3 linked regions of the Caenorhabditis elegans genome follow. The protein of the gene in region 1 purifies or fractionates together with the protein of each later gene. This does not show direct contact. Each region holds a gene or a part of one and is shown on either strand. Other genes may lie near its edges.

Region 1 (10,941 bases):
TATTTTGATTTAAAATTACAGATTTTTTCAAGTTTTAAAATTGAATTCTTGCCTTTTTAATTTTTAATTTTGGTTTAATAAAGTGTTAAAGAGATGAAAATCTGAGCAGCCGAAAATTTAACAAAAAAATTCCAAAAAAGGCTTCTCGGTGAAGCCGGCACTAATCGAGCGTGATTCCGAAGGAAAATGGATGGATTTGACACTTTGTTTTTGTGGTTTCTAAACAACAAGAAAAAAAAGTTTGAGACGGATTTTCGAGCCAACTTGGGAGCGGTGATATATTATTTTTTATGGACATGAACTTTTTTTTTCAAAAAGTTGCGAACTTTTTTTTTTGAATGGAAGAAGCAAATTTGGGGAATTTTCGAGGCAAAAATATTTCAAATTGTTGAGGCGTGGGGCGCTTTCCAGCCTTATCACTCGCCTGCCTCTACAACAGGGTGTTTGTGGCTTTCCGCATAAATGGGTCATACTTGACGAAATCCTTCAACTTTGCTATTTTTGCAAAATTGGACTCGCCCATATATTGGTTTTTTTGGCATATTCGCAACTTTTTCTTGTATTATTTTAGTAACTTGCTACGAAAAACAAAGAAAAAAGTGGTCAGAAATTATGAAATTCAATTAAATTTTAAAAAAACCACATATACATACACTTTTCTCTGTCTTTGTCATATGATCAGTTGCCAGACAAGTACAATTTTTGATTTTCCAAATCTCATAGACATTCCCATAATCCGTTGCGAAAGAAAACTCTTGGAGAAGAAAACATTGAAAAGGGATTTTTATGAACAAACAAAACAAAGTTACGAGAAACCTGTAGATGATGATGGGATTTCAAAAGAATTCAAGAAAACAACTGATCAGGAACGAATTCAAGAAAGGGGTGAGAAGCTCACAGAGCTACTGAATTGTTAAATAAAATGGAAGACAGTAGGCATGCAGTAGGAAGGCAGTAGGTGGGCAGTAGGCAGGCAGTAGGCCGACAGTAACCAGGCACTAGGAAGGCAATAGGCAGGCAGTAGGCAAGATACCTGCATTTTTTAAGAAGGCGTGAAGAGAGCAAGAGATGTGGTACCCTCGTTACGCCTCCACACAGTGTCCAGAAATTAAAGCAAAAATCCATTAAGAATGAGTAAACCCGTCGTAAACAAGTATCTTGGAACATTTTGTAGTCCGTGAGCAATCGCGTGTTTGGCTCCGCCCAAGCCAACAAAAGCCCTACAATTTCCTGCTCATTCTTCATTTCCTGATCGCGAAAGACAACAACACGAAGCACGAGGAATCGGGAGGGACGAGTACGGATATCCGGATATTCAACTTTTTTTGATTTAGGACGGTTTTTGACAAGTGAACATATTCATGTAAAGAGGGAGAGGAGACTAAATTGGAGGGTTGGAGCCCTGTAACATTATGTGCACATGGCGAGACAGTGCCTGCCTACTGCCTGCCTGCGACAGCTTCTGATGATGACTATTGTGAACCAGGAATTTGTCGGCTGCACATTTCCCAAATTATAGCTTCTTTCCCCGTGAAATGTTTACATTTATAATAATATCAGGGTGTTGACACCCCGTACTACATTTAGCAATAACTTTTACACCAAATGAATGAGTCAATTTGGAAACATTTGTAGTAATCTTTGAATCCACTCCTCCTCTGTTTTTCCCCAATATGGAACAAGTCAAACCCGTCTTTCATTTCTCATCGTCGGCATCATTAAGCTTGTCCTACTTTCTTACTACTTGTTGTCCATCCTCTTGAGGAACAGAGATTCAGGCAAAAATGTTGATGGAAAAACGTTTCGAGAGTGTTCACAAAAAGAGACCTCAAGCGGTTGTGAGTTTTCTTTTCAATTATCTAGAGATCAAAATTTAATTTTTTGAAGGAATTATTCCAATTAAACACAACACTCCTCTTCTGGGTTGGATTTGTTCCTCCGTTGTTTGCCGCAGTTTTTGCGATTCTCACTGCCATTATACTACATCAAGATAAAATCACAAATTACGCATGGATCTGTGGGGTAAGCTATTTTCGTCAAGTGCATTTCCCTACAGCCTGCCTTCTGACTGCCCACCGCTTGCCTACTGCCTGCCTACTGCTTGCCTACTGCTTGCCTACTGCCTTCCTACTGCCTGCCTACTGCAATTTAAGTTTTCAGAGAGCTTTTCTACCATCACTGTCAAGAATCATCAACCTAACTCTCGAAGGACTCGTCTGGCAACTATGCATATTTTTTCATATTCCCTTCAGATTGCTTGAGCTGTCAGTGGGGTGTGAGTTGATTTTTTTTTGGGAAAAGAAAATGTATTTTTAACGGAAAACTTCCAATTAAAAGAAACGTAGAAATTCGAAATAAATATTTTCAAGCTGACAATAAAACAATTGCAGGGGTAAGATATGGCCGATTGGAGAGCCGAGCGAATACTCATCGTCTGTGGTATAAAATGCATAGACATTTATATTTGGTTTTTGGTGTCACTGAGCTCATTCTGCTCAGCGGATTGTCAGCTATTGGAGAGAAAGAGCATGGCAGTGAGTTTAAGTTTTTATTGGAGAAAAATTAAAGAGATTTTGAGGGCCAGGAAAAATTCTGGTAATACTCAGCTCTCAGCTCTAGGTGCCCGAGATGTTGAGCTCCTAAACTGAGAAAGTTTCAAATTCGTTTTTGCAGAGCCTCACTGAAAATCTGAAAATCAAAGTCTGAAAAAGTTATTGTCACTGACCTCATAAATTCTCCTAGGTGAACCGTAGTAGGTTTTGCGAAACTTAAAATAATTAACTCTTTATTACGGCATCGTCCGTTTTTCGGTTGGTCTCACCCGGTGGTGCCTCCACTCGCCCTCCACAGTCCCCCCAACCATGAACATTTTCAGTTTGGCATGTATGCTTCTTCTACAGTTTCGGAGTTGTCGCACTTCTATTTTTCATCTCCAATACTGTCTGCCACTCCCAATCTCTTTACTTTCTGAATCCCTATGTAACTTTTTTCAATTTTTCCAAAAAAACACTACAAATCTCTATTATCAGGGTCGAATATCTTATCATGTGAAGATTGTCATCAGCATTTGCTACTTCCTCTCAGCACCTGCAATTGCCACCTTTTATGCCCTGTATTGGAAAGCTTGTTTTACATGGGGTACTTTAATATATGAATTTGATATGAGAAAAAAAAAATTATTTCAGCGTATGAACTATTTGCACTAGTGGAATATTTGGACGTTTTCATGGTGATCTTTTATCACGGATGCTGTGTATATTGGGATATTCAGCACAAGGTAGGGTTTTTTACTATAGTTTTTTTCCAAGTTTTGTAAACTTTTCCGTATTTAATATTTTAAATGTTCCTGCAAGAATACTCCCCATTTCTCAAAACGGCCAAGAAAACTTTAGAATTTACCAAACCTTTGACTGCAAAATTTCAAACTCCAAAAATTTCGGAAGCTCATAAAAATCCTCAAATTTGACAGAAATTCGAACGTATGGAAAATCAAAAGTTATCAAGTTCTGAAATCTGAAAATTCTACTGACTTCTTTTTTTTTAATCTTCAAATATAATTTTTATTTTATTCTCATACATTTTCATTTTCAGGTGGTATTCAGTGTTCGTCTCAACAAGCCCTCAAAACTAGATAATATCATCGAAGAGAAACCGCTGAAGAAGGAAGTTACGACGGAATTATGAATTTTAAATATTTGTGATTTTATTTCAAAGGCACATACTAGGTTTTCTAAAGAGTTCCATACTCAAAGTACGCTCTTCGATCACAAGGTATTCGCGAAATACACTGAAAACTAATTTTTCTATTATTGGAAACTTAAGTCTTATCATTCTGATCTGATATTTTGAACCTCTAGTTTTATTTTTATTGATTTTTTGTTTGGATATTCATATAATGTGCTTTATGAATAATAAAAAAAATTGGTTTCAAACGAACTGGAATGTGCTGTGACTTCCAGTGATTTCTGGGATTTCAGCCGTTTTCAGATTTCTTTTTTCGGTAGAATTGACATTCGGATTTGAGACTTTTTCATTTTTTTTCACGAGAAACTAATACTTGCATTGGATTTGGTATGTCATATAACTATTGTTTATTCTAATTTTCCATTTGATATCTAGGAAATTGAGGTAAAATTATCGAAAAATTGGAAAAGATCGCATTCAGCCGCCGCTCTTCAATTTTGGATACTCAGACATTTTCAGATTGTTAATCTAAAATTAGTATATGAACCAGTTTACCAAAAACCTTTTTTTTACCTGAATTTAATTTTGATAGCTTTGAGAGCTAAACTGCAAAAAGTAGGAAAAAGTACACTAACTGCAAATTGATACTCGTAAATTTCAAATAACGCATTATTATTGCAGTGTGACTATTTGCTAATTTTCGAATACATCAATAAAGAATATATGATTGTTTGATCTATCTTGTTTCAAGTCTACCCTATCATTTCCCATTCATTTGCAACCCAGACGCAGAGATACAAACCACAACTCTTTGAAAATCGATAGATAATTTATGGTTCATATTATCAGTTTATCAAGGTTTTCTTATCACCCATTGTCTCGTTCATTTCTGCCATGTTTGCAAAACTGTCCGTCCACCAGCTGAGAGATCTTCTCCCTTTCTTTACTTCCCATCCAAAATTTGCATTATTTGCCAACGCTGTGAAATTCGAAATCGAAAAACGTCTACCCAATCATCCGTGTGATTTCTACAGCTATCAGAAATCCGAAGAAAATGCAAAGTACTTCTATTGCTTCCGCCATAATCGCCTTCCAGATAGTTGTCGGTAAGATTTATTAGGCTTGAGGGGGAGAGGTTTGCCAATGCTTTTGTACACAGGCCAATTCTAATGATAGGAAGCGTTCAAACCACGGTCAACGGGGATGACGTCATCTGTGGTCTGGAACAAATCAAAAACTCGGAACCTGAGTTTGAAAACATTATTCTTCTTGTAGCTAGTACGGAACTCGCGAAATTGGTAACAATTTATTTTTAGGATTTTTTTAAAATTTAAATAAATATACAGTCTAGTTAAGTTTGTAAACATCAAATTAAAATTGAGGGGGGGGGGGGGGGGGTTTGAATCGGCATAAAAAAGTTTTTTTTTTGAGATTTCTCGTTATGAAATTCAATTTTTTAGGGTTTTTTGAGCTTATTTAAACAAAAACCTCAGCCGATACTACCATTTTTAACGCTTTTGATAGACTATTTTTCTTTTGATCCTTTTTTTATTCAGGCCAACAAGTATCTTACAACCTGCTGTAATATCCGTGAGAACTATAATGTTCCCTGTAACAACTTCTACCTACCTATCACTGTTTGCCCTGAAATTCAAGAAAAAGTCGATGGAATCACTCTTCCTGTCTCCTTTTCAATTGGTTCCACTCGACTCGAAGATGCCGAAATCGTGAATTCCACGTGGAAATTTGCCACCCCGGAAGACATTTTGCAACAAAAGTGAGTGAAATCGAAATAATTCGTTTGTAAATGTTTGCTAGGGAGAAGATACAACGCCTTCCGACCGCCTGTATATTCCACGAGGAAAAACCGATTGCGTTTGAAATGATAGGATTACATGGGCAGTTATCGCACCAATACACAATGCCAGGATACAGAAATCGAGGATTTGGAGCGATCATTGAGAATTCAATTGTTTCGAAATGTTTTAGGTAAAAATTAAAAATTTTATTGGATGGTAGGTGTTAGTAGGGACAAGGCGCCCTGGACGCCCAGTAAACGCCTTCAAAAAAGAAAAAAATTGTGAAAGAAAAGTGAATATGAAATGAGAAAACCTCATACATAGAAATTAAATTTGAAAAAAGTAGTAGTGGAAAATTTGCCATCCGGGAAGAAACACGGGCAAGATAAGCAAAACGTATTTAGATAATAAGTTAACTAGTATAGTATCTAAATTAAATTATTCCAGAGAAGGGATCACACCTGTCAAATCGGTGGAGTTGAGCAATGAGCCGGTACTGAAAAGAAGTTTAGAGCATCCACTCTGGGAAATCGTGAAGGATGAGAATGGAGACAAAGTGATTTTCGATTATATTGAGTATTATTGAAATTGATTATCTAAAACAAATAGAATATATTGTTGGTTGTTTTTCTTTTAATTTTTGAAGGAATATTTTATAGGTTGACTTATATTTATTGTGTAACAAAAACAAAAGTAACAGCATTTTTTGAAAATGTTCCTGAAAGTCAGGATGTGCGGCGCCGATACCAAACTGCTTACGCCATTGGTACAAAGAGGTACACGGAGAAAACAATTCTTAAACTTTTTGAACTGCGATAAATAGTTATCTAGGTTTTAGTGTCAACTATCAACCGTTTTCTTATCACCCACTGTTCATTTCTACCATGTTCGCAAAACTTTCCGTTAACAAGTTAAAAGATTTTGTCCCTTTTTTCAATTCCCATCCAAAATTTGCATTATTTGCCAACGCAGCAAAATTCGAAATCGAAAAACGTCTGCCCAATCATCCGTGTGATTTCTACAGCTATCAGAAATCTGAAGAAAATGCAAAGTACTTTTATTGCTTCCGCCATGATCACCTTCCAGATAGTTGTAGGTAAGATTTATGGCTTTTCTGGGATTTTATGGAAGGAACGTTGGCCTCATTACCTATAATGTTGCAGTTAGAGAATCTTACAGTAATCCTGACAATAGTGTAACTATCACAAGCCATCCCTGAAGAGCTAATAGAATAAACGTGTAAAGTTTTATTATACTCGACATTTGGCACCAGCTTTTCCCAAGTTTGACACGAATAATAATACCTTACTATTAGATCAGAAGTTGCAAAACTTGGGCAAAAGTTAGGCAAGCCTTGGTTTCGGCGACCCCAATGTTTAGAGGGTTGAGCTTGAGTTGACCCTAAACTAAGTCTTTCCAAAGTCTTGCTTAATTTTTGCACAAGCTTTTTCAACTTCTGGTCCAAACTTTAGCAAGATGCTGGCGCCAAACTCCGATTAGGGCATGTTAGGCCTGGCGGACTCGTACCCTCAACTACACTTCCTGTCAAAATAAATGTTAAGATCCCGTTCAAATTACCTGCAAACGGAAAATTGGTAATGTATGTATAAAGCTGCCGTGCACAAACACTAGAGTTCGCGCCAAAATCTCAGGCAGGCACCAAGGCCAGAAACTGCATGATTGCTTTGAAGTCTAGTGAATAATTTTGTACACAGACCGACTCTAATAGGAAGCGGTCAAACTATGATCAACGAGGATGACGTCATCTGTGGTCTGGAAAAAATCAAACACTTGGAACCTGATTTTAGAAACATACAAGTTCTTGCAGCGAGTACTGAACTCGCGAAACCGGTAAGCTTTTTCTGACTAGTTTTCTGAAAAACTGTGAGTGAAATCGAAATGATTCGGTTTTATGAAAAAAAAGTTTGCTAGGGAGAAGATACAACGCCTCCCAACCGCCTGTATATTCCACAAGGATAAACCGATTACCTTTATAATGGTAGGATTGCATGGACAGTTAGCTCATTTGTACACACTACCACAATATAGAAATCGAGGATTTGGAGCCATAGCTGAAAACTCGATTATTTCGAAATGTTTTAAGTAGAACTTCTCTAAAGCTCAACAAGTCTAAAATCACATTCTTCCAGAGAAGGAATCACACCTGTCAAGTCCATAGAATTGAGCAATGGACCGGTGCTGAAGACATGTTTAGAGCATCCACTTTATAAGATCCTGAAGGATGAGAATGATGGCAGAGGGATTATTGATTACATTGAATATTATTAGTATGTTTAAGTGCCACTACTTTGGTTTTTTTTGTAATTTTTTGTTTAATTGAAAAAATAAATTTACTGCTCATCGAGGAGGTTTTTCTGATTATTCAAAAACGTATTTCTGACGAGAAAAAACAGTTTCAACTACAATAGTCTGAACTTTACCTAAGCCTAAGCCCAAGCTAAGCCTAAGCCTAAGCCTAAGCCCAAGCTAAGCCTAAGCCTAAGCCTAAGCCTGCACTTAAGCCTTATCCAAAGCCCAAGCTGAAGCCTAAGCCTAATAGTAAGTCTAAGCTAAAGCCTGATTTTAAAACCGAAGCGCTCGTGATTGGAAAATTAATTCTGCCATCGAGAAGTCATTGTAGGACCTAATATTATTCGCAATCAGATTCAGGTTTGAAGCTTCAGTTTAAGGGGAACGCCGGAATCAGCTTATCAGCTTCCAAAAATCGATGAGGACGAGAAGGGACATCCCCAAAACATCCCCACTGCAGATCTTCTGATCTTCTCCTTCCTAAACACATCTAACTCCCAAAATCTACAATCAAGTTTGCTAGCTTGCCATTTTCCTACCCTACCAACAACTTTTTTCTCTAAAATCCCGAATATTAACACAGTTCGTTTATTCTTTTATTTGCAACAATAGCATATAGACGAAATGTACATCAAGTTTCAATTGAAACTTCAATTCCCTTTTTTTTGAAACATCTCGATCATTGTGGCCGAATCAATCATCCTCACACAGCCTAGGCATCCCTGGATCACCAGTGTTAAAAATTGCGTAAGATTGTCTGGAGGAGGTGGGTGACATCAGGAGAAAAAATGAAAGACGTGTATGTCTCTCTTTCGTTCTGTTCCAATTAAAACTTGTTACGGTACGAGACTTTTTGAGTTTGCCATTTCTCCGCGCGCGCGCAGGAAGCTACACCACACCAAAAACTACATATGCGAGACGCTTGTACGATTCGGGTTACGTAATCATTGTGGATGCAAATGGCAAATGTAGGTAGAAGAGAGGGAAAGGAGGAGATATAGGAAAAGAGATATGATTATTCGATGCGAAACTGGGTGAGGCTGGGATAATGAGTAAGATGCTGGGAATGGGAAAAGACTTGGGCTCCTGGAAACTTGGCGGCTCCTAGAGCAAATAGGAACTTTTAAGTGTATTACTGATGCCTTCGAGACCCAGTTTAAGGAAGTTCAGACTGTAGAGCTTTTAAACCAGGCATATTCTGTGAAATTAAGTAGGCACTTGACTGCCTGCCTTCAAGGCGACCTGACAAGACACTCCTATGTTAAATAGTGTGAGTCTTGTAACCCGGAAATTGTGGGGCGGTGCAACAAGCCGCCTTGAACTTCTGTCTAATGACACCTAATGACATCTGATCAAGTCGGCTAAAGATGGAATAGGTAGGCATGTCGGTAGGTCAGTTTTACCAAATTTCAATATGAATTTGAAAACAAAATTAGGAAAAGCGCGTTCTATTGTACTAGCCTCAGATGAAGGCTGCCAAAAAATAAGCCAACATTTGACAACCTTATACCGAAGTTTGGCAATTATCTGCAAAAGTACGGTAACTTTTTGTTAAAATTTGACAAGATTCTGCCAGAGTTTGACAACTTACTGTGACTTGCAACTTACTGGCAGACTTTGGAAACTGCTTGTCTTTACAATCTTTAAAAGTTTAGCAATAATTTTTGGGGAATGACTGAGCACATGGCAACGTTTTGAAATTTTGCAAAAAAACTTACAACAACAAAAAAAATGGAAAAAGGAAACATTTGGCAAAAGCTGGGCAACCTTGATTCCTCTAATTTGCGAAACAGTGTAACCAGGAAGAGCGATAAGCTGATTGTGTGATTTACAAGCCCTCAGCGGGGTGCCCCACACCGGCGGGTTTTATGATCATTATGATATAAACAACACAATCCTCTCCCCCCCCCATATCAATAGTGTTGCATTATCACCTTCGAAACATCACAGGCTGATGGAGAGACGCAGATGTTACCGGCCCATTGAACCCGAAGCCGAACGCTCTGGTTTTTTGGACGAGGAGACGTAGAGTGTTGGAGAAGAAAAAAGAAGAAGAAGCCTGGGTGTCCAGTGACGAAGAAATGGGATTTCGAACCTGAAGGAGGTGTGGCTACGGTACGTGGACACTGGCCAAAAGCTCCATGCCATAAAAGGCTGACTTTGCCTACCTCTGCTGACTTTCTTGTCTCCCCCCACCTCCTGAGTGAGTGAAGCGATTTTCGCAATGAAACACGTATCCAGACTGCTTTTGGTGAGTACTTTTTTGGTTGGTTTCGAGAAATTTATTTACGGAGATTGTCATTATGATTGTGTGTGTGTACTGTGCGTTGCCCAAGGAAAAAACATAGCTAATTAAATTTTAATCGAAATTTTTAATCAAGTGCGCGGAGGATTTCGTCAAGTTTTTTGAACTTTTTTTGTGAAAATTTTAATTTGAAATCAACTCAATTAATCTAGATTATCAATTGTTTTAATTTCAAGGGGGTTCTCGGTTAGTATTGGGATTTTAAAGTCTTACTTCGTTTTTTTTTCAAAAAGTTTCAACTAGTAAGTTCATGTCAAATTTTAGAAATTTTGCTGTAAAACTTTGACAACTTTCTGTGAACATTTTTCAACTCTCTGCTTGCGTGCAATTTTCTCTGAAAATGTGGCGATTCTCTGTTCAAATTCTGCAATTTTCTGTCGAAGTTTGGCAGTTTTTTATCCAAGTTTTACAGCTTCTTGTCAGACTTTTCAAACTTTATGTAAAAGTTTGACAACTTTCTACCTAAATTCCTTCAATTTCCTGTTTAATTTCGGTTTAAAACCGCTTTAAACAATTTGGCAACTATTCTCAGAAAATTGCAAGTAAATTTTAGCCAACAAAAATTTGCCAAACTTTTATCTGCAAAAAGTTGCTAAAGTTTGACAGTAAGTTGTTTTTTCAAATGACCCTCAAGCCGCATGGTTAGCTTTGATAAAAGCTTAATTTTTTTTCAAATTTAGTTTCAGGAGAAATGCCAGGAAATTTTCTGTTTTGCTACAAAAAAAAATCTGAAATCTGTTAGTTTGAAAATCAGATTTTCAGGCAAAATGTTCAAACTTTGTACTCCAACTTTTCCATATTGATAGCATCAAATGTATAATTCCAATACATCCAAGCATTGCC
Region 2 (10,491 bases), about 10 Mb from region 1:
AAGCCTTCTGATGCTGTGAAAAGGGCGAAGGAAGCCGAAAAACGAGAGAAGAAGAGGTTGAGCGACAAGAAACGATGGGAGGAATTAAATGATGCAGCGAAGGAGGTATGTTATAAACGTATTCAATTTATGATTGGAACCTAATTGCTTCAATTATTCAGGTCGTTCGAGCTAATGCACGAGAAGCGTCAGCAAGACGCAGGGCTGGTCGCGATGCAGGCCTGTCAGCGAATCCGAAACGCTCGCCACGATGGTCTCCGCAACCGGACCCTTCCACGCCATCATCCTCCACATCATCCTCCACATCATCCTCGCCGTCGTCGTCATCCACTCCACTTACCAGCACACAGAGACGCTCGCCACGATTCCACGCCGCCCCTTGATTGATTGATTGATCTTTCCCCCAACTAACATTTCATACTTACCCCGCTATCATGTAAAATATTTATTTCGCATCCCTCCCCCTTGCCATTAATCTTATAAAACAGGTGCCCCCTCTTGCAATTTACCATGTAATTATGAATAAATCATCACTGTCTCTTCGAATGGAAATTTGTTATAGAGCGCACTTGCATTTTTGCTATTTTCTGCGATTTTTTTCTGTTGAAAGAACATTCAGTTCAGATTTATTTTTATTTTTTGCGTTCTCGGCTTACGCATCAGCGAAAGTTTATGCACGAGTTGCGAAATTCTATGCAGGTGGTGCAGAATTCTATGCAAAAGGTGCGCAAGTCTATTCAGGAGTTTCATTTTATGGAGGATTTTTAACTTCACGTAGGAATTTTCACTTCATTTTCAATTTACGCCGAAGTTTCACTTCACACACTGAGAAAAAAGAACGACAGCTCACGTGAAGTGAAAAATATTTTTAATATTAAATATATTTTTTAATAAATGAGAGCAAAAGTTCACGCAGCGGCTGATGTGGTGTTTCCACGTGAGCTTGCCACGTCATCCATCCGCCCGTCTTTGATCCGATGACCTTCCCGGAAAAGTTCAGTTTTAAAACGTTTTTCGTTCAGTCGTGTGAGTTTTTTTTCTATTTTTTTTTGTTAATTTTTAATGTTTTTTTTTAATTTCAGAGTCATCTTCTGCCTGACAATGAGTTCTTCTGCCGATTCGCTTACGGACGGCATTCAACTTCTCCGCCTCGCCGAAAAGCATCAACACTCGTCTCTTCTGACTCCGCCACCGTCGGATGACTCTCAAAAGTCGCTGAAATCCACTTCAAACCACTCGGATCAGGAGATGTCGAAGAATCTGCACGATGTCGAAGCCTACATCGATGCGCTGAAAGGCGAGAAGCATCAGCTGGCTCAATACTCTAGCGGCGGCTTCAACCATGTCTTCAACTTGATCGACAAGGAGATTCAGAAAGTCGGAGGAAACGATGCTCATGATGGTGGCTCACAAATGAGTGGCGATGGTTCGATGCTCACGGAGACTATCATGGTTCCAGTAGAAAAGTTTCCCGATTACAACTTCGTTGGAAGACTTCTTGGACCACGTGGAACAACTGCAAAGCAGCTCGAAGTGACAACTGGTTGCCGCATCACAATCCTCGGAAGAACCAAGAGAGATGGATCAAGCTCGAATCCCGATGTCACTACAGGTCCATTGAGAGTGCAAATTTCTGTTCCAGCAGATATGCCGCAAGCTGCAAAACTCTTGAAAGGTGGCGTCGGTCACATTCAAGCAATTCTTGATGTACCAGTGAGTGAAAAATAATAAAAATATCGCTTTTATCCACCAATAATAAAAGTTTTCAGACTGACGGTAACGACGAGCTGAAGCGTCAACAATTGCTCATTCTTGCCAATATGAATGGTACCTACCAACCTCGCGGCTCAGCCACATCTCCAGGATCCGGCGACTATGGGCATCCGTTCCAGAGTTAGTATTTTTAAAATTCTCCTATATATATATAATTTTCCTGTATCTACCTGTATCCTTCATGTGTCTATCAATCACCCATTTCGTGTTCTATAATAATTATGATAATACTTTTTCGAAAATTCCCAAATAAAAACTTAAAAATATACATTACGTTTGTTACAGACCTGCTTCCATACGGTTATCGTCTGCCAGGCAACAGCCCAAGCCACCATGAGTCAAAGAACGACTGTTACAATCCAAAGTGTGCGATGATGAGAAGCTTTATTGAGCATTCCAACAACAATCATAGCTCAATGCAGTTAGTTGTAAAACTGAGAAAATATATTTAAAATCTAATTTAATTTCAGAAAAATGGATGATGTATTCCATATGATGCACATGTACGAGCTCATGAACCGCGTCCGTATCGCCAATTCCCATCTTTTCGGACGTCCAGAAGACATCAGCAAGGCCCAGGAAATTGGAAATCGCATGTGCTCATCGATCAATGCTCCACGTGCTCGATCCTCCAACTCCACCACCACCACAACCACCACTCTGCCACCTCGTCGTTTCTTCAACACGAAACCACGTCCATCATACCAAGCTAATAACGAATCCAACAACGCTAACAAGTAACCAGATGTAATTATAATTACCTACACCATCCCCTTATTCCTGTAATCATTTCTTGTTAAATTATTTATGCTCCATTCCCCCGTTTGATTGTTCATATTTCTTTCCGAAATCCGAGCACTTCTCCATTTTCTTCATCTAAAATTTAAAAAAGTAGGCTTGAAGCCAGTGTTTGTTAGAATAAAAGAGCACAAGCTCAGTGTTTTGTAAATTTTCTTCTCAATTTTTGTTTCACATCTTATGTCTGAAGTTCGGCAGCGAAAAAGTTCGATTATCGACAGTGATTTGGACTTTTCCGATTCAGATGGAGAATTCAAAGAAATCATTAAAGACATTGAAAATGATCAATGGAAAGATAAACCAGTCGATGAAACGAGATGGTCGTAAGATAAAAAAAACTCTAAATTTCTAGCTTTTTCCATAGATTTTCGGATTCAGAAAAACAAAAAGTGCTGTACACGAGTGGGGATTGTCTTGTTCGTGGCATGGAATCCCTCACATGGCTCAATCTCTTTCAGTAAGTAATAGGTTCAAATATTTCTTCAAATTCAGAGATTCCATGATTCCAGTGGCCAACGATCCTTCTCTGGACAACCTTGCTCATTATCAGCGCCGTTTTGTTCGTCTACCTTATCACCGTCACCGTTCGCCAATACTTTTCGTTTCAAAAATTGGTGAATCTGAATGTAAATTTCTTAAATCGCTTTTTTTTTTAAATCTTTATTATTTTATTGAAGCCAAAGAATTGTAGATTGGAATGGTAGAGTCGAACTTCCCATCAATCACATTCTGTAATACAAATCCATATAAATTGAGTGCAGTTCGAGCGATTCCTGAGCTGGAAGCCTTGGTAATTAAATTTACAAAATTTAAAATGAATCGGAATTTTGTTTTCAGCTCACCGTCTACTCACAAGCCTATACATGATAAAACTTTGGATTTTTATTTTTCTGCATTTTCAAATAAAGTCATAACAAACAACAAAACAATCATCTCAAATTGCAATTCAAAAAATCGACAAATCCCGTGATAATCTTCTCCTTATCAGTTGTCGGATCCTTCTTCGACATGTTCACAAATTGGTGTCGCAGTCGATTCAGCTCAGGCAGCGTTCTCAATTTCATAAACTTTATCGTATTGGCTCCGTCTGTTGCTCCAGGAATCGTCAGGTTTTGACCGCGAACTGCAGTTCTTTGAGCATTTAAAAGCACTGTAACAACGTCTTGTGTGGATCGATCCAGCTCGTGAAGAAAATTTGTCGGCGCCAGTGGGACTGTCTGTGTTGATTGGTTTTCTGTGAGCTCTGTTCCCTGGAAAACTAATTATTTTTCTATTCGATAATTTAGGATTCACTTACATTACAAATCCATTCAACAATTTCATCTTCAAAAATGCTCGCAAATCTCGGAGCAGGATGCTCCAAGTCTATCGCCATATCCTCATCGAAGTCTACAGGCGTGGCTCTGGAATAGGAAACAATTATTATTTTTTTTTCCAATTAATTTTCCAATCTCACTTCTCAGCAGTACCAATTTTAACCTCAAACAATGGTTTTTCCCATCTCAACTTCGTATCCGGCCTTTCATATCTCATCATCAACTGATCGATAATCTCCTTCGGATATCTCTCCACTTCAGGCTTCTGCTCATTGAGCCAGTGACACGTGGCGACGGGAGGCGAGCACTCGACGACACAATACGTGGTTTTGCTCATCTTAGCGGCTAAGAATAATTCATATCGATATCCTTTGATATAATTCAAAGCATCACATATTATAACTTTATTCTTCGTTAGATTCTGTTGAACTTGAGATCGAATCCAAGATCGGAGATCCTTCTCTTTATTCGAAAATTCGTAGTTTTTTCGATCAAATCCTCCGTAATCTTCGTCCCGTATTATCAAATAGTCTTTGCCTGGAATGATGGGAATTTTAAGAAATTTTAAAGCAGAAAATACACAATTTTTACCTTTTTCCTCGAATTTCTTCGCTAATCTATCAACAACTGTAGATTTTCCAGACGATGGATGACCGGTAACAATGATAAGAGGCATAAATATCTAGAATAATCCTTATATTTCAGTAATTTTGACATATTTCAATCCATGAATTTTGCAAAAAACAACGTCGCACAGAAATAGAGGCGGGGCGTAATTTTGCAACCTTGCGGCACGATTTTTTACTCTATAAGAGATTGAAATTGGATCGCATTTTCATTCGAAAAAGAGAATAAAACGAGCAAATTCCCCGATCGATCCTGTAGTTTTTTGAAGTTCCGCATCTAAAAAAAGTAATTCACGGTAATGAACCGTTTACAATATTTTAGAAAATTGAATTTCATAAATTCAAAAATTGCAATTTTATTTTACAGTTGGAGGAAATCCGGAAACAATTTAAAACTTTCACGACGATTTGAATTTTTTTTTGTGGTTTTTTGTTTCTCTTTGATGATGGCCATAATTAAAGGAATAAGGAGGAATGCGACTTAATGAAAAAAATAAGAGAAAATTACAGAGAAAAAAAAAAGAAATTAGGTATATATTTTAATATCACACAAGATGCTGCTCATCCGTCAAACGGTGGAGGAGAGTCAGAATCCGACGAATCTCTATCCGGTACACCAGTTGCTGCGTCTTCATCGAGGAATAGTGTCAATTTGTCGTTGAATGGACGTGCTTGAGCGGCCGGATACTTTTGATCACGATCACAAATTCCTCGTACAATTTCCGCTTTTTGTTTCCCGCAAATGATGAAAGCAACGTTTTTGGCGTGTTGAAGAGTTTGCAAAGTAAGTGTGATACGAGATGGTGGAGGTTTCGGGGAGTCTGTGATGACGGAAACCCAATTTAGCTCGGTAATCTTCTCCAGCCGCTCCTTTCCAGGGAAGATACTTGCAGTGTGACCATCTGGACCAACTCCAAGGAAAAGAATATCGAAACGAGCAGTATTGTTGAGCTGCTCCGGGAGCAAGTATTTACGAAGACTGATTTCATAGTGTTGGGCGGTGAGGCAGGGATCCTTGAAAATTTGCATGGGCACAAAAACGTCTCTGAGCTCATTCGGGAATAATCTCAAATATTCTCCCTGATTACTTTCCTCGCTATCCAGATCAACGTTACGCTCATCAACCATAAAAATTCGAATCCTCTTCCAATTCAGCTGCTCTTGTGGCAAAGAGAGAATAGCTTTCGAAAAGACTCGTGGCATCGATCCACCGGAAACTCCAATACTGACTGTACCATTTTGATCTAGAAGATAGGTGAGCTTTTCCTCGAGATAACGACGCAGCTGAAGGATGAGCTCCTTTTCGTCGCCAGAAACGTTGAGCGCCGGCTTCATCTGAAAATAATTTTGTTTTATAAAGAATAAATACATTTGAAACGAGATTTTACATTGCTATTCGATACGAATTCGTTAACGAGACACATTGATATTCTCCACGGAATGAGCGGGGGCTGAGTGAGCGGAAATACTGAAAAAGAAGCAAGAAATAAAATCGTTTATGACATGAAAAGGATTTCTCTTCACGAAATAAACCAGGTTTATTTTAAAAGCTAAAGGAAGGTGTCATAAATAAGAAAAAGGAATTTTAATTTATTTAAACTGTATTATTATTATTCAGAAAAAAGCCGATGAAAACAGGAAAAAAACAAAAAGTGATAAATGTCTAGCAACAATACTCCGAAATGCATGCGCGCCCAGTTTATTGAGACGATAGACTATGCAAAAAGACGAGACGCAGAGTATGCAAGCATGCTCCACTGCACTCTTGTGTCGAAATACGAGCGAGTCCACGGATTTTCCATTGATTTCCGAGTTTTCTTCGCATATTTTTGCAGTTTTCAAAGCTTCATGATTTGCAATTTAATTATCAAATACTTAATATTGTTATTTGTAGTAAATATGACCACAAAACTGGCGCGATTCGCTCAAAAACGATGGATTTCTTCGACGACTTCCACATCAAATATGTACGATCCAAGAGTATTCAGAGATCCCGTAACGAATGTTCAAGAGGTTAATTTGTTTGTTTTAATCTATAAATCTTAACTATTATTTTAGCTCCGAAAACCATTGGATTCGGATGATGAGCGCAACTTTTTGTTCCTCAAAGCGATGAAAAGTGATGCGACACCAGTATTTTACAGAGATCATGTGGTAAACTTGCAATGCTTTGAATATTTTTTTAAAATCAAATACTATTTTAAAGATCGACAAACTAATTCGAGTGTGCACAAAAGACGGGGAAAAGGAGACTTCTCGCAAGAATGTGCTCAGCGCGTTGGAAATCATCAAGCGCCGGCAGTACAAGGCATGGGCAAAGGCTTCCGAAGAAGAGAAGAAAAGTATCGAATTAGACCCATTTCTTGTTGCGAAAAAGGGAATTAAAGTGAGAATTTATATTTTATTGACTGGTTAATTAAAAATAAATTCAGAATTGTCATCCTCTCATGAAGCTTCAAGGTGTAACCCGAGGAGGAACCACCTATCAGGTTCCATTTCCAATTGAAGAACCAGAAGCCGAGTTTCGAGCAATGAAAATGATGAGAGATATTTGTAGAGTTCGATCGAAACATGGAGAGACACATTTCAAGTGGGTTAATTTCTATTTTTAAATTATAATTTATTTAATTCCAGAGACATCCTCGCGACCGAGCTTCTCGCCGCCAGTCAAAACGAAGGATCAACGATTCAAGCGAAACAGGAATTGCACAAGACTTGTGAAGCGAATCGGGCATATGCACATTATCGTGCCTAATTATTCATTTTCTAGACATTCTATAATTAGCTTAGATTATCGTTTCTCTTTTGTTTTGTTACTTTTTTTTGTGTTTTTAAACTTTTGAATTGAATTGAAAATATCGATTTATTTCTTTCCGTTTTTCCGAAAGGCAATCATTATACCTTCAATACCTTTTATTTTAAAATTTGCTTTCATTAATTACTAATTACCTACCACCAGAGCTTCCAGATGTCGAACCAATCGGCAACAGTTGAGCAGCTCAGTGGATTCGAAAAGCAATATTCGCTTCAAACTGCGGAAATCACCTCGAAAATCGGCCGCGTGCACACTCTGCCATCGTCCGATCGAGCCGGAGCAGTTCAGGAAATTCGAAAAAGTTTGGAAGAAGTGAATGATTTGCTGGATCAGATGGAGCTGGTTGTTAGGGAGTTGGAGTCGAATACGTTAGTTTTTTTGCTTTGATTAAAATTGTAATTAACATAAAATTTGCAAAAAGAGAAAAAAAAACTGCGCCGCAGGGCTGCAAAATTCAGTACTTTTCAGAACTGAACGCACAAAATACGAACTTCGTGTTCGAAGCTATCAAAGTGACAAGAAACAATTGGACACAGAGCTGGAAAAAGCTATAAAAAGAGTCAGAGAAGAAGCTGATCGGGATGAATTATTGGCATTTGATGATCAATTAGATGAGCATAGGCAGGAGGATCAACTGATAGCAAATACTCAGAGATTGGAGAGGTCTACGCGGAAAGTTCAAGATGCACATCGGATTGCTGTTGAGACGGAGCAGGTAGAGTCTCTTCGACCCTTCAATTCTCTTCAAAATGTGCTAAATTAATTCCAGATCGGCGCCGAAATGCTCTCCAACCTTGCGAGTCAACGTGAAACAATCGGTCGTTCCCGTGATCGCCTGCGCCAATCAAACGCCGACTTGGGAAGAGCCAACAAGACGTTAAGCTCGATGATTCGTCGAGCAATTCAGAATAGATTACTCCTTTTAATTGTCACTTTTCTACTTTCCTTCATGTTTTTGTACATTGTCTACAAAGCTATCTAAAATTTCCAGTCTTTGCTTGCCCCATTTACAACCGCCAATCATAAAAAAAGTGACATATTTTCTATTTATATATATATATATATATAGTTGTGATTTTGGACCTTTCTAGTCATTTTTTTGCTTATTTTTCATGTAAATGCAATGTATATAATTATTTTATATTTTCTCGTCTGATTCTGATAAATTAATTTTGATTTTCGAGTTGATACAAACTGATCGTTAGGACCCACTTTTTAAATAAAAAATCCATAATTTCCCTCGAGAAACTGTGATTCCTTCCCTGATTCATCATGAATATTTAATTTTATGTGCATTTTTCTCTCCGAGAAAACATTATAAAACCACGTGAACCCCAAAATGCCTTCCATTTTCGATGAAAATTCGATTTCAAATTTATTTTCTTGTTTATCCGACTACTAGTCATGTCTAACAATTCAAAGAGTACTGGTAAGTTATTTGAATGATTGGAGGCCGAGTTTTCTTTTTTGGCGGCCACGTTTCAACATTTTAAGAATCTCGAAACAAATCGCAAACATCATGGAATCCGTTTCGAAAAATGCTATCAATGGTTACGGGAAGAACTGGCTCGGAGAGCAATTCCAACACTTCTGATGGCGAGAAAACAATTTTGAGGTATACTAGGCCTGAAAACTTCTGATATTAGTTAAGCATGCGCCTTTAAGAAGTACAGTACTTCTGTCGCTTATTACAGTCAACTTCATAGTGCTCCACGCGCGCCCTGTATTTGTCGGTACACTGCCCCAAACCACACTAGCCACGAAAGTTTTTCAGTATCGCTTCTTCGGCTTATTAGCTAAGATCAAAGTGTAGTATCTGTTCTTATCGTATTAACCTACGGTATACACTCGAATGAGTGTAATAAAGGTTATATGATTTTTGGAAACTAGGGAAGACTCGGGGCTTGCTCCGTCTTTCCAAGGGTCGTCCCGGCGTTGCACTGCTGCCGGGCTCGGCCCAGTCCCCGAGGGGGCAAAAAAGAAATACAGGCTGATTTAAAAAAGCAAAGAATTTCATTAGGAGCCAAAGTAATCGCTAGAAAACGGATGAAAATGTAGTTTTCAGATGGACCACCGCCTGTCTCACCACAACGTGCCCCATATTCTCGAGAAATCCCCAATTCAACATGGTACATGGCCTAGAAATTCAGATCTTCCGAAAGTTTAATTTCAGATCTATTGCCCAGTACCTTCTCTACTAATGTATGTAATCATCACACTTGCATCGGAGAATGCAATGACCAAGACGTTGCATAGACTTTTTGAGTTGACTGATTCAGATGTTGATGGTAAGTTTTGGCAGATGAAGTGACCATTTTATGTCAGTTTCTTGAGCTTTGTGTGGTATTTGTTTTGAAAGAATTGTCTCCACAGTAACGGTTGCATAGAAAACGCAGTTTATAACAACAACGTGAAACAGTTCATTTTTATTTTTCCAATTCGACATTCCAGAAATCCGAGAAATGGCTCAAAAGCTCGCGGAGCTCCAACATCCTAAACATTTCTACTGCTTTATTAGATTTCTGGTAGATGAACAAGAAACTACTACAGTCAGCAAAGAGCTTATGATAAAGAGCAATGACGTGGCATTTCAACAAGTATTTGCTTCATTCCGTCCGTCTCGTATTACAAAGTTTCTCAATTCATTGACTTTTTCACCAGTTTCCTTGAATCGCCCATCTCTGTTGACCACCAATGGATATGGGTCTGCAGGTTTGAATGCCACGTGGATTGGAAAGGTACTGTAGGTCTTAAATTTACACATTAATCAGATGATTTCAGACACGAAAAGCTGGTCTAAACCGTTTTGCATGTACTTATCATAAGAAGAAAAATGAAGAGTTTTTTGAGATTCGGACGGCTTATCGGACAATTAATATGGAACAGTTTCAGGTATTTGTTATTTATGAGCCAAATTTAAAAGTTTTTGATAGGATGGTACTATTTCATTCAAATTAATAACCATGTTCTAATTACCCTGGAAGCGAAGGAGATTTCGAAACTTTTAGGTTTTTTGTCAAAAAAATTATTTCAGATTTCCCTTTTTGTTTTAAATCTATACAGCGTGTTTAATATGAATAAAAAATATTTTCTCTAATCAATTGAAAAATTGTAAGAAAATAGCTATCAATAAAGTTATTCAGCTCATCCAACTGTAAAAGGC
Region 3 (10,801 bases), on another chromosome or scaffold:
CGCTGGCGGCCGCGATTCCCGAAATGGATAAGCTAATGTTGGAGGAGCCAATTGAGGCTGGAAGCATGCCATATCGCAGAGCCACCAACAAGAATATCTCTGTGTCCGATGACGTAGGAGAAATTTGAATTATTAAATTCAAAAAATATAAAAATCTAATATTTTTCAGTCATTCAACAACATGCATCGGTCCTCTTCCTCATCGCAATATCGCCGTCATTCCGCTCAATGGGAGACTATGACTGATGACGAACGAGAGTCGGTTCAGCGTCAGAAGCGCAAGGAAGAAGCATTCAAGACGGCACTTTGTGACGCTTTTAAGCGCTCAGGCTCCTGCCCGTACGGCGAAGCTTGCCGGTTTGCTCACGGCGAGAACGAGCTGAGGATGCCGTCGCAGCCACGTGGCAAGGCGCATCCAAAGTACAAGACGCAGCTGTGCGACAAGTTTTCCAACTTTGGACAGTGTCCCTATGGACCACGATGCCAGTTTATTCATAAGCTGAAGAAGGTTGGAACATTTGAGATTGCAGGAATTCTCATAAATGAATAAAATAGCATTATTTTCTTAGGTTTTTATATTAGGTTTTTTTGTTTAAAATCTTCAAATTCTTACTAATTTCGTCGAAATTTTGAGCTGAAATTCGTTGAAAATTGCGAAATCTTTACAAATTTTGGTTATTTTCAGTGAAAAAGATCAAAATTTGGTCATTTTCAGTTAGATTTTCAAATTTTCGTTAAAAATCATCAAATTCTAAGTAATTTCATGGAAATTTTGAGCTGAAGTCAGTTTATAATCCTCGTTTTGTGTGAAACACATTGTAACTTTCAGATTTTTCGTTAAACTGTTAAAAGTCGCGTTCAGTTCAATTTTCCACAAATTTTTCGCCATTTTCACTGAATTTTGCCCCTAGTTTTGTGGGAAATCTTGCATTTCCTAAAAATTTCATAAAAATTCGAGCTGAAATTCGTTGAAAATCGCGATTAATTCTTTTTTTTTCACAAATTTTAGGTTATTTTCACCAAAAAAGACAAAAATTTCGTCATTTCCAGTCGGATTTTTCTGATTTTTCGTTAAAAATCTTCAAATTCCTATTCATTTTATAGAAATAGAGCTGCCAAACCCATTGATTTTTTAGTGAAATTTTTCAAATGTTCTGTTTTCTCGCTATTTTTTAATTGAAAAAATCAAAATTTGAGTCATTTTCAGCGCAGATTTCCTAATTTTTCCCGAAAAATATTCAAAATCTAGTAGATTTCCATAGGAATTTTTAATTTTTAATTAAAAAAAAATTCTTGCAGGGTCTTCCACTGAGCGAGTACAACCGTGCTCTTCAAGAAGGCGAGATCTCACCGGCTCGCGACGACGAGATCACCAATCCCGACGAATCATCATCCCAAGTGGAGGATCTGAGTGAGCTTCACCATCGACAACATCAGCAGCAGCAGCAGTACCAACAACGCTATCGTCGGCCACCATTCAACAATTTCCACGATATGTCGGATAGTGGATACAGTGCTCCTCGCCGCCGGCTTCATCATCAATTCGAGCATCTTGGTAGTGAGCAGCAGCAGCAGCAGCAGCAGCAGACACCAGCTCCGAAGATTGTCTATCCATCGATGCAAGTTGTCAATATTGAAATGGCAACTGGTGACGGACCTAAAAGGTCTGACAATCATCATTATCATCATCATCATCATCAACGTCGTCATATTCCGGCACCACCATCCACCGGTCCACTGAGCTCTCTCATTGATCAGGCCGACTATGAAGCTTCTATGGCAAGCGGGAAAATGTTCGGAAAACCAGTTAGTCCGCCTTTTTCCCGGATAAAACCGTCAAGTTTTGAGAATTTTCAGGAGAACATTCGCACCTATGGAGCCATGATCCGCGCCAACGAGGAGCACGTCGAGCGTAATCAGACTGGAGTTGTCAAGAAGGAACGGGCGACGGTTCTACCGAAAAGGGTACGGCATCCCCGCTGAACAATTGCTTCTAATTATGAAAAAAACACAAAAAATGCGATTTTTCAATGCGACCAATCAGCGATTCACACCGCCCACTTTTCAACCAATCATATATAGTGGGCGGAGCTGATTGGTTTGGCAGTTCTCTTCAAAGTTTAAATATCAATTTAAATCTCTTTTTACGAATCTTTTTCATTTTTTGTAGTTTTTTTTCCGAATTTTTTAGAGAAAAACCCCCATTCTCGCTTTTTTTAGAGAAACCACCAAAAAAATCGGCAAAGAATGTAAAATTCTACTTTAAAACCAGATTTTTCAATTTTGGCGAAATTCCCTTCAAAATGAGAACTGCGACCAATCAGCGATTCGCACCGCCCACTTTTCAACCAATCAGATGTAGTGGGCGGTGCTCGAAGACGCTGATTGGTTTTGCAGTTCCTTTTTGTGGTTTTTAATGAATTTATACTATTTTTGGATTAAAAAAAGAAGCAAAATTCCCGTTCTAGCTATTTTTCAGGGAAACCACGAAAAAAAATGAAAATTATTTTTTAAAAACCCGATTTTTTTAAATTTTGGCGAAATTCCTTCCAAAATGAGAACTGCGACCAATCAGCGATTCGCTCCGCCCACTTTTCAACCAATCACAAAAAGTGGGCGGAGCTCGAGGACGCTGATTGGTTTAGCAGTTCCATTTTGAATTTTAGAGAAAATCCCCCATTCTCGCTGTTCTTTCCAAAAAAAACCACAAAAAAATCCCTGAACAATGAAAAATCTACTTCAAATAAACTCCGCCCATTTCATTTGATTGGTTGAAAAATGGGCGGTGCGAATCGCTGATTGGTCCCCCTCCATACAAATTTTGTTTCAGGATCTTTCACTGATTCGCGAGGAGGATACACTGCTCGTCGACGGTTCTCATCTGAATATGACGTCATCGGCGATTCTGCCAGCTCATCAAATCCCTTCCACCACGACCACCAGCACATCATCTCCAGTCCAAGAACAGCCGTGGTACGAGAAGATTTTCGGGAAAATGACAATGATCCAAGAGGAATCATCGATGGGCGGTGAAGACGACGATGCTCACGAAGATCATTATTCGAGATAATCTGGATTCCTCCGTCCACCCCCTACCTACCTACCTAAAAATCTGCCAAATTCTCACAAATTGTCCCAGTCCAAAATCTCTTACAACAAGAACAAAAAATCCCCTCCAAATTTTCATGTCATATCATAATTTTCCCCCCACACCACCAAAAAAATGTCCATATTTTGTATTTTTGTGTCCCACCCCCCGGCCAATCTGAGCCATATTTATTTTGATAATGATTGTAAAAAGTTATTTTGTGATCTCTACCGTTTCCCCCCAAACATTCCCCATTTCTCTATCTCTCTCTCTAGTCTATCTCACTCTCTCTATCGGTGTCTCGCCACGATACCCACCGACCCAGAACGCCAAGAACAAATATGAAGAGATTTGAATTTTTATTCAAAAACAAAAAAATACTCAAAATCAATCAATAATCCACAGACCAAACTTCACTGTTCCACTTGCAACGGACAATGTTCCGCCCGTATTTTTTGATCATTTCCTCGGCGATTGCCACGTAGTCCGCGCGGCATTTCTCCGAATTCGCGCCTTTCTGCGATTTCCAGGCGGCATATTTTTTCCTGCCGACCTCGTCACCGGCGGGAACTGCTGAAAAATATAGAATGTTAGATTTTGGATTATTTTCCATTCGAGACCCTTACGATACACATCCTCATTTGGAATGTCCCCATGGAGAGCCTGTTTGTACAATGCGTAGAGTTTCAGCCGCTCTCGATCGGTTGGCTCGGACTTGAGCCGACGCATCTCCTCGGCGGCAATTTCAAAAGTTAGCCCGGTCCATTTCTGAGGGAATTGGGAATTTGATTGTTATTATTGAATCCTCGAAAAATTCGGTGGAGCGCGCTTGCATCTTTTACTATTATGGGGCGTAAACGGCCGCGAATCATGGGTCTCGTTATTACGGGACCATGAGATCATGAGAATGCCTATTACTGGCGCGAAAATATTGGCAGGCCGCGGCAGCGAGAGAGCATATGGCGAAGAGAGACGCAGGTCCCTTCGCTACGAGATATTTGCCGCCAGAGAAGTAGGCATTCTCATGATCTCATGGTCCCGTAATAGGTATTTGGTGAAAAATTTCGAACGTTTTCGAGAATTTTGCAGCGTTCTCAAAAACTACGGAATATATAGGAAAAATGTTTGAATTTACGATTTTACCGCCAAATTTGGACGCCATACCTAAACAAGACCCATAATTCGGGGGCGGAGCGTTTCAAATTAGCCGCCGAGCGCGTTTTCACGTCGATTTCATTTTTCTGGATTTAACAAAATCAGTGTTCTGGGCTTCCTCAATGCATTTTTCGCGCTCCATTGACAATCGTCAACGCGTGGAAAAGTGTCGTGTACTCAACACGGACAAATACATTTATTTTTACAACTAAAACCGAGCCGCGACGCGACACGCAACGCGCCGTAAATCTACCCCAGATATGGCCGAGGCAAAATGGCCTAGTTCGGCCTAAAATCTTCCATTTCAATTTACGAGGGAATTCCCTCCCTAGGGAAGCCAGAAATCCGTGACTACGGAAAAAAAGTTCAAATTCACGATTTTACCGCCAAATACCTAACGAGACCCATGGTTCGAAGGCGGAGCGTTTTAAATTTGCCGTGGAGCGCGTTTTCACATTGGAATGAGCGTCTCATTGAAGCGAACTTGCTGACCAGACTGAAATTGAAAATTAGCTCACCTTTTCGAGCTCGGAAATCGGCATTTTTGGAGGCGATAGAATTATTGTTGGCTCCCGCGGAGCACACACGCTTTTATACCCCCTAATTGGCTAAAATATTCGCGAATTTTCGAGGGAAATTGCCTGAAATTTGAGTGGAGGCCCTATATGAGATGTGTGTTCGATGAATATGTAATTTGAGAAAAATAATTGTTTATTTTGTGAGAAATATAATTATTTAAATTCGTTAAATAAGTTTCATGAAAGTTTTTACAGTAGAAAAGCTAAAAAATCGATATATTATGGATTTTTGAAGGCATTCAACGGTGAAAAATTGAAATTTAGTGAGTTTTTGGAAAAAAATTTGGGTGAGAATTTGTATAATTTTTGAGTAAAATAAAAAGTGGGGGAAATTAATAATTTTTATCCGTTGGTGTGTCGTTGCAGTCGCGTAGGGGGTTCCTTGCCAGTTGTTTCTCTGAAATTTCAAAAAAATTATTTAGTTTTTGACTGGCAACGAGCTCGTACGCGTCAAAAAAATACGATGAGAACAAAAAAAAACAAGGAGAGGGGTATGCGCCTTTAAGATAAGGATACGGTAACGGGGGGGAGGTCACTGGTCTCGACACGACAGTTTACTGCGAAAAGGTGTGCGCCTTTAAAGAGTACTGTAGTTCTCAATTTCACGTGTTTAAAATCGTTTTTTCATAGTTTTACAAAAAAAACATTTGGAAATTCGTCAGCAATCTAATTTGTAAACTACAGTACTATTTAAAGGCGCACAACGTTTTTTTCCCATTAAACAAACATTTGTCGTTAACGTTTCGAGACCAAAAAGTCGCGAAATTTAGTACCTGAGTAATAATAAACTAGGAAAACCTTGACTAACTACCGTATCAGAATTTAAAGGTGCATGTTTCATAAAGAAGCGTCTAGATAATACATTTTTGAAGTTGAAAACCCCCTAATTTTTTAAAAATTTACAGTTTTTCCAAGTGATAGGTAATTTTGCATGACGTGATGATGATGATTCAGAAAATAAACCGCAAATGATAAGAAATTATCAATAAATGTTAGCAAAAGTGATTACGGTATTCCGAATACTAAAAAAACAAATTTTTTTCCTAAATTTTTTAATTTTCCCAAAACCATAGCCAAAGTTGTAATTATTTTTGAATTCCCGCTTCACCGAATAATTCAGACATTTTTCCGCAAACATTGCGATTTTTAGGTAAATTTTCGAATTTCAGCGAAATTTCTCATGGTTATCCAGGCTTTTTTTACGAGAAAATACCAGAAAGTTTGAAAAAATTGAAAAACTAAACAATTTTTGCGGGTAAAATCCGGGAAATCGAATTTTGAAAAATCTGAAAACGAAATCTTACCAAAAACAGAAATTATCCCAATTTCTTAGATCAAAAATCTAAAAAATCTGGCGAACTCGTGTGATCTCTTTATTATTTGAAACTCGCCGCGATTTTCAGATTCCAAATCTTCTCCCATTTCTATTAAATTTTGCTCCGACATTGCAACAAAAAACACACAAAAACAAGTATTCATATATATTTTTAATATTTTATTAAGCATTTTTTTCCAATATTTTTAATTTTAATGTTTTTTTGGGGGTTTTTTTCGTTTCGTCTAACTTGTTCTTCTCATTTGTTATATTATTTTACGAAGTGACCGTATCGTTTTACTATTTCATATGAAGTTTGGAGATGGTTTAGGGTGTGTGGATTGGTGGAAAATGGTGTGAAAATCAGAAAATATAGATTTTTCAAGTTTAAAATCAAATTTTGAAGCGAAAATTGCAAATTTTCCGTAGGAATTTCAAATTTTCCCACCACTTCCGGAGGAGTTATGTGAAAATTCGAAAAACAGCTGAAAATCTGAGAAAAATGTTGTATTAAAGTATATTTTATAGCGAAAATTTCGAATTTTCCCACCATTTTCACCTATCGACACGTCTAGAAAGGGGACTTTCAAAATGAAAATTGTACTGTTCAGCGCAAATTAGCGAGAGCATTGTTGGGGGAGGAATTTCGCCCGTAAACTAACACACCCGTATTCAGGGGAAAGATTGGCGAGGGGGGTTGATAGGGGGAAAGGGGGGAGGCGTTCTTTAAAACTCTGGCGGCACCGCTTTTGAAAAACAAAATAATAGAAACACAAGAAAAACGACAGGGAAATATATGACGGCTAAACAGTCTAAAATAGAGTAAATTTGGCGTGTTCGTGAAGTGGGAATTTGGCCGGCAATACTTCAGACATCCTCTTCTTCCCATTATTTACAGTACATTAGGAAGAAGAAAACGGAAAATTGCAAAAACGGGCAAAAACGACCACCACAGCAGCTGAAGACGTTGACTAAAATGACGGATTTTGAAGATTTTTGCAGAGAAACAAAATGGCCGAAGATCTCAATAAAAGTAGCTTCTTCCATAGAATCCGGCCGCCATCTCCTCCTCCTCATCATCCTCATCATCCTCGTACACCACCTCCTGTTCTAAATATGCCGAAAGCACCGCGTGATACAACACGGGCCGTTGACGTTCATAGGATTCGCGCAGCGATCTGGCTTTTGACGTCACCTCCTCGCACTGAAAAATTAATGAATTAATTTCGTGATTTTTTTAGAATTTCAATAGAATTTTGAGTATATATGGTGGGGATTATATATGCAAGACAATTTCAATTTTAAGGCAGAGTTTCGAGTTTCAACGTGGGGAATAGCTCGAAAATGCTGAAAAAAACCTCGATTTTAGCTAAGTTTGCTAGAAAAAATCTACGGAAATCTATTTTAAATCGCGAAATCTTTTTAAAAAATCTTGAAAATGCGAAAAATTGCTCAGAAACTATGGTAAAACCAACGATATTTGTGGAAAATTGATCTAAATTAGTTTTTTGAACAAATATTCACAAATCTCATTGGTTTACCAAACAGTTTCTGAGCAAATTTTTCGTTTTTTTGTACATTTTAAACAGATTTCGCGATTTCAAAAGGGTTTAAGTGGATTTTTGGTAGAAAAAATAGCTAAAACCTAGGTTTTCCACAGTTTTTGAGCTATTTCCATTGCTGAAATCGTCGTCTGCTCTAGCAAAAAATACGGGGCTTATCTGTTGATTTTTATGTGTATTTCTGTGTAATAACACGCATCTATCCAGGGTTTTTGGTATAAGGAATCTGAAAATTGTGATTTTCGATAGGTGTTTTAGTGTAATTCAGGTACTTACAGGGCCACACTGTTTGCTTCCCATTTTCTCTCACTCTGCCTAAACTTTCTGGAGGGCCAATGTCTGTAGGATATCGAAATAGTTTTTGTTTTCAAACTCCAAATTGTAATTTTCCCAATTTTACAAGGCTAGAAAGTGCTAAGAACTAGAAAATTGGGCAAAAACCCACAAAAATTATGTATTTTGGTGTAATATTCCAGTTTTCAACACTTTTAAGCTAGATATTCGGTCCTTCAACTCACCAAAATAGCGACTTGGCTGTTGCCCGCGAGCAACTCTTCCCTTTCTCTTTGAAAACGCTCAACTCGGGCCTTGCTCTCCGCTAACCGTTGTTGGTATTTTTTGTCGATCTGTAGAGAATTTAAATATTATTTTTCGCGAATTTTCCAGAATCTCCGCTAAGCAGAAATATCAGAAAAACTTTAACCACCTTTAATTTGACGAGCCGCAACTTCGACGCCGCTGAAGAGGTGCTAGTGGCGAACCGCTTCGCGTATTTTTTACCGACTGGAATGTGGATGAATTGAGCATTTTTGAGTTGGGGATCCTTTTTGATATCTTACCATTGAAGAGCTTGCGCGCCGTCGATCTGCGGAAGGTTGCGGATTTCTTAGTTTTCGAGAGTCTGCGGACTCTTCTCGCGGAGCCAGTTGAGGAGGAGGAGGTGGAAGAGGTTGGTGAGGTGGCTCCAGAGGTTCTTGGTGACACTGAGGAAGAGGTGGACGGGATCGTCGAGCAATGATTATCCGCGTACTCCACCACAATTTCGTAGACTTGTGCTGACGACATCTGGCTTCTCAGTAGCTGTAATTTCGGATTAGATGATTGGGGGGTTTTCGGGAAATCCCCCAGAAAACGAGGTATAAAAATCGTTGGAAACGAGTTCAAAAATAAGAATATACAAAGAAAAACAAGACGGTAATAACAATTATTTAACTTTTTTTTTATTATTTTGAAAAATTTTCAATTTTTTGAGGTTTTCTCATAACAACTTATACAAGTGAATAACATAACGGGGTGGGGTGGAGGTGAGACAAAAGAAGAAAAAAAAACATTTGGTAAAAAAAAGAGTACGACGATCGATTTTTTTTGGGCATTTTCCACTTTTAAATTTTTTTTTGGAGAGTATTGGGGGGTCCAAACGAATCCGATAGTCGCGCACTGTACAATTTTTCGTAGTTTTGTTGGGGGGGTGTATACTGTAGTTAGATACAATTTCCGAACAGAGATTCTACAAAAAGATCAAAACTAACCACTGTTTCTTCGGCGATAGGCCCTGCCTCATCACACAGGTGACTCCCAGGCGTGGCGTTTGGCTTGAGAAATAGAGGCGATATCTAGAAGAAAAAGAATGACAATAAGGGGTGATAAGTACTAATACTACTACTTGAAGCTCGGCTTTTGGGCGCTGAAAATTCGAAGAAAATCGCTGGAAAAATTGATTAAATGATTAATTTTCTCTCGGCTCAAAAACCCAACTCCTGCAAATAAGTAGAGGTGGAAAATGGGGAATGCTTTGAATTCCTACACGTGTGAATTTGGGGGGCTTGATAAAAGCTTGATAAATCTGCTTGCTTCTCAATAACTGCTTCTCGGGTCGTTCAAATAGCTATCGAAAGCGGAAAAGTCGCCGCCAAACAGCTCATTTCCGCCGAGATCCTCGACAAGTCGATCGGTGAACTTGCTATCCATTCTCATTTGATTGTTATCCGCACACTGCTTGCACACCTCGACAGTGGTTCCAAGTGCTCCGACATGAACACAAACTCCCGCACGTGCTCCTGGAGCCGATTGAGCCGAGCCCATTGTGGCGACGACGCGAGCGATCTGAGAGTCCTGGTCGATGACCTTCTTGAGCTGAGTGATCTCATCGGAAGCTTTGGCAAGAGCCTTCTTCATCTTGGCGTTCTCCTCGCGAGCAAGGCGAAGTTCGGCTTCAAGCTCAGAGTTGTGCATTTGAAGTGTCGACATCTCGTTCTTCTTCTGCTCACGGTAGTTTCTCGCGTAGTTCGCCATCTTCGAGTTGCTCGTCACTTTTGAGGGGCGTCCGCGTTTTGATGATGGTGACTGAAAAATTAAGAATTAGACACTTTTTTCAATATTTAAAATGTATTTTTTTAAAGGGTCAGGGGTCCTAGAAATGGGTTATTCAATACGAAATACCCATGTATCATTCATTCAAACTTAGTTACTTCGTCTCTATAGACCATATGCGTACTGTATCCACGAGATCTGCTATTACACGGCTCCTGAAATGTTGGCTAATAAGTTGGTTGTTATAGATTTATGGGGGACTGTGGGAACTTACCCTTGCAGGGAGATGAGAGATTTTTATTGACTTTTGGCTTCATACTTTTGAAAAATGAAAAATCAATAAAAACCTCTGCTCCCTGTGTGAAATTTTAAATAAAAAATTAAATAGCTTACCTTAACAAGTGGACCGCTGGAATATGGGTTAAAGTATGGATTTTGAGTACGTCTGGCAGTTGACATCTTCAATGGCTTGTGCTCCTGCATGTATGGTGATGGTGAGGCTGGATTCTCGGATTCTGAAGGTGACATTAGCCAAGATGGCTCCAACTTTGGCTCCTCCACGGACAAAAAGCTCGGCTCTTCGTCGGTGCACACTCTGTGAGAAGTGCTTGATGACGACGACTCACCACCGTCAAACTCTAGATTGTACTCCATGAGCAGATCTTTCTCGTACTCGTTGTTGTAAAATATGACCGGATCCTCGCGAGTCAGGAACGGATAGGGGCCCTGTGTTTCGTCCAAGAGTGCGAGCAATCGCTCCTCTTCGGACCTGAAAGTCTTGATTCCCATCATT

What was found.
Region 2: the proteins of ZK185.3 (region 1) and Y57G11C.43 fractionate together in Caenorhabditis elegans (co-fractionation; one large-scale study listed by BioGRID). This does not show direct contact.
Region 3: the proteins of ZK185.3 (region 1) and acbp-6 fractionate together in Caenorhabditis elegans (co-fractionation; one large-scale study listed by BioGRID). This does not show direct contact.

The regions. Positions count from the first base shown.
Region 1 is NC_003282.8:4,523,965-4,534,905, reverse strand, and holds ZK185.3 (Glycine N-acyltransferase-like protein), read left to right. Parts: upstream 1-4,473; 5' UTR 4,474-4,578; coding exon 4,579-4,790; intron 4,791-4,843; coding exon 4,844-4,982; intron 4,983-5,240; coding exon 5,241-5,461; intron 5,462-5,502; coding exon 5,503-5,673; intron 5,674-5,930; coding exon 5,931-6,069; 3' UTR 6,070-6,147; downstream 6,148-10,941. Other genes in the region: ZK185.4 (Frag1/DRAM/Sfk1), read left to right, coding at 1,785-1,838, 1,888-2,022, 2,161-2,275, 2,391-2,534, 2,876-2,979, 3,030-3,138, 3,186-3,277, 3,592-3,684; ZK180.6 (Prion-like-(Q/N-rich)-domain-bearing protein), read left to right, coding at 10,018-10,044.
Region 2 is NC_003282.8:14,763,647-14,774,137, reverse strand, and holds Y57G11C.43 (Protein KTI12 homolog), read right to left. Parts: upstream 4,698-10,491; 5' UTR 4,564-4,697; coding exon 4,479-4,563; intron 4,425-4,478; coding exon 4,028-4,424; intron 3,975-4,027; coding exon 3,869-3,974; intron 3,822-3,868; coding exon 3,501-3,821; 3' UTR 3,439-3,500; downstream 1-3,438. Other genes in the region: Y57G11C.51 (DUF3362 domain-containing protein), read left to right, coding at 1-105, 162-383; Y57G11C.36 (K Homology domain-containing protein), read left to right, coding at 1,102-1,713, 1,770-1,893, 2,059-2,194, 2,244-2,514; degl-1 (DEgenerin Like), read left to right, coding at 2,752-2,894, 2,950-3,028, 3,081-3,197, 3,263-3,361, 3,409-3,438; Y57G11C.3 (Putative 6-phosphogluconolactonase), read right to left, coding at 5,075-5,848, 5,902-5,937; mrps-7 (Small ribosomal subunit protein uS7m), read left to right, coding at 6,413-6,526, 6,572-6,667, 6,720-6,899, 6,946-7,103, 7,148-7,268; vti-1 (t-SNARE coiled-coil homology domain-containing protein), read left to right, coding at 7,482-7,696, 7,797-8,043, 8,098-8,310; Y57G11C.5 (SERPIN domain-containing protein), read left to right, coding at 8,733-8,757, 8,823-8,943, 9,394-9,457, 9,502-9,616, 9,780-10,066, 10,110-10,220.
Region 3 is NC_003280.10:11,968,882-11,979,682, forward strand, and holds acbp-6 (ACB domain-containing protein), read right to left. Parts: upstream 4,852-10,801; 5' UTR 4,786-4,851; coding exon 4,762-4,785; intron 3,857-4,761; coding exon 3,715-3,856; intron 3,662-3,714; coding exon 3,480-3,661; 3' UTR 3,432-3,479; downstream 1-3,431. Other genes in the region: mex-1 (C3H1-type domain-containing protein), read left to right, coding at 1-113, 170-508, 1,300-1,806, 1,849-1,965, 2,831-3,070; Y17G7B.21 (Regulator of rDNA transcription 14), read right to left, coding at 7,161-7,340, 8,217-8,324, 8,405-8,481, 8,538-8,763; nosr-1 (BZIP domain-containing protein), read right to left, coding at 9,553-10,041, 10,402-10,797.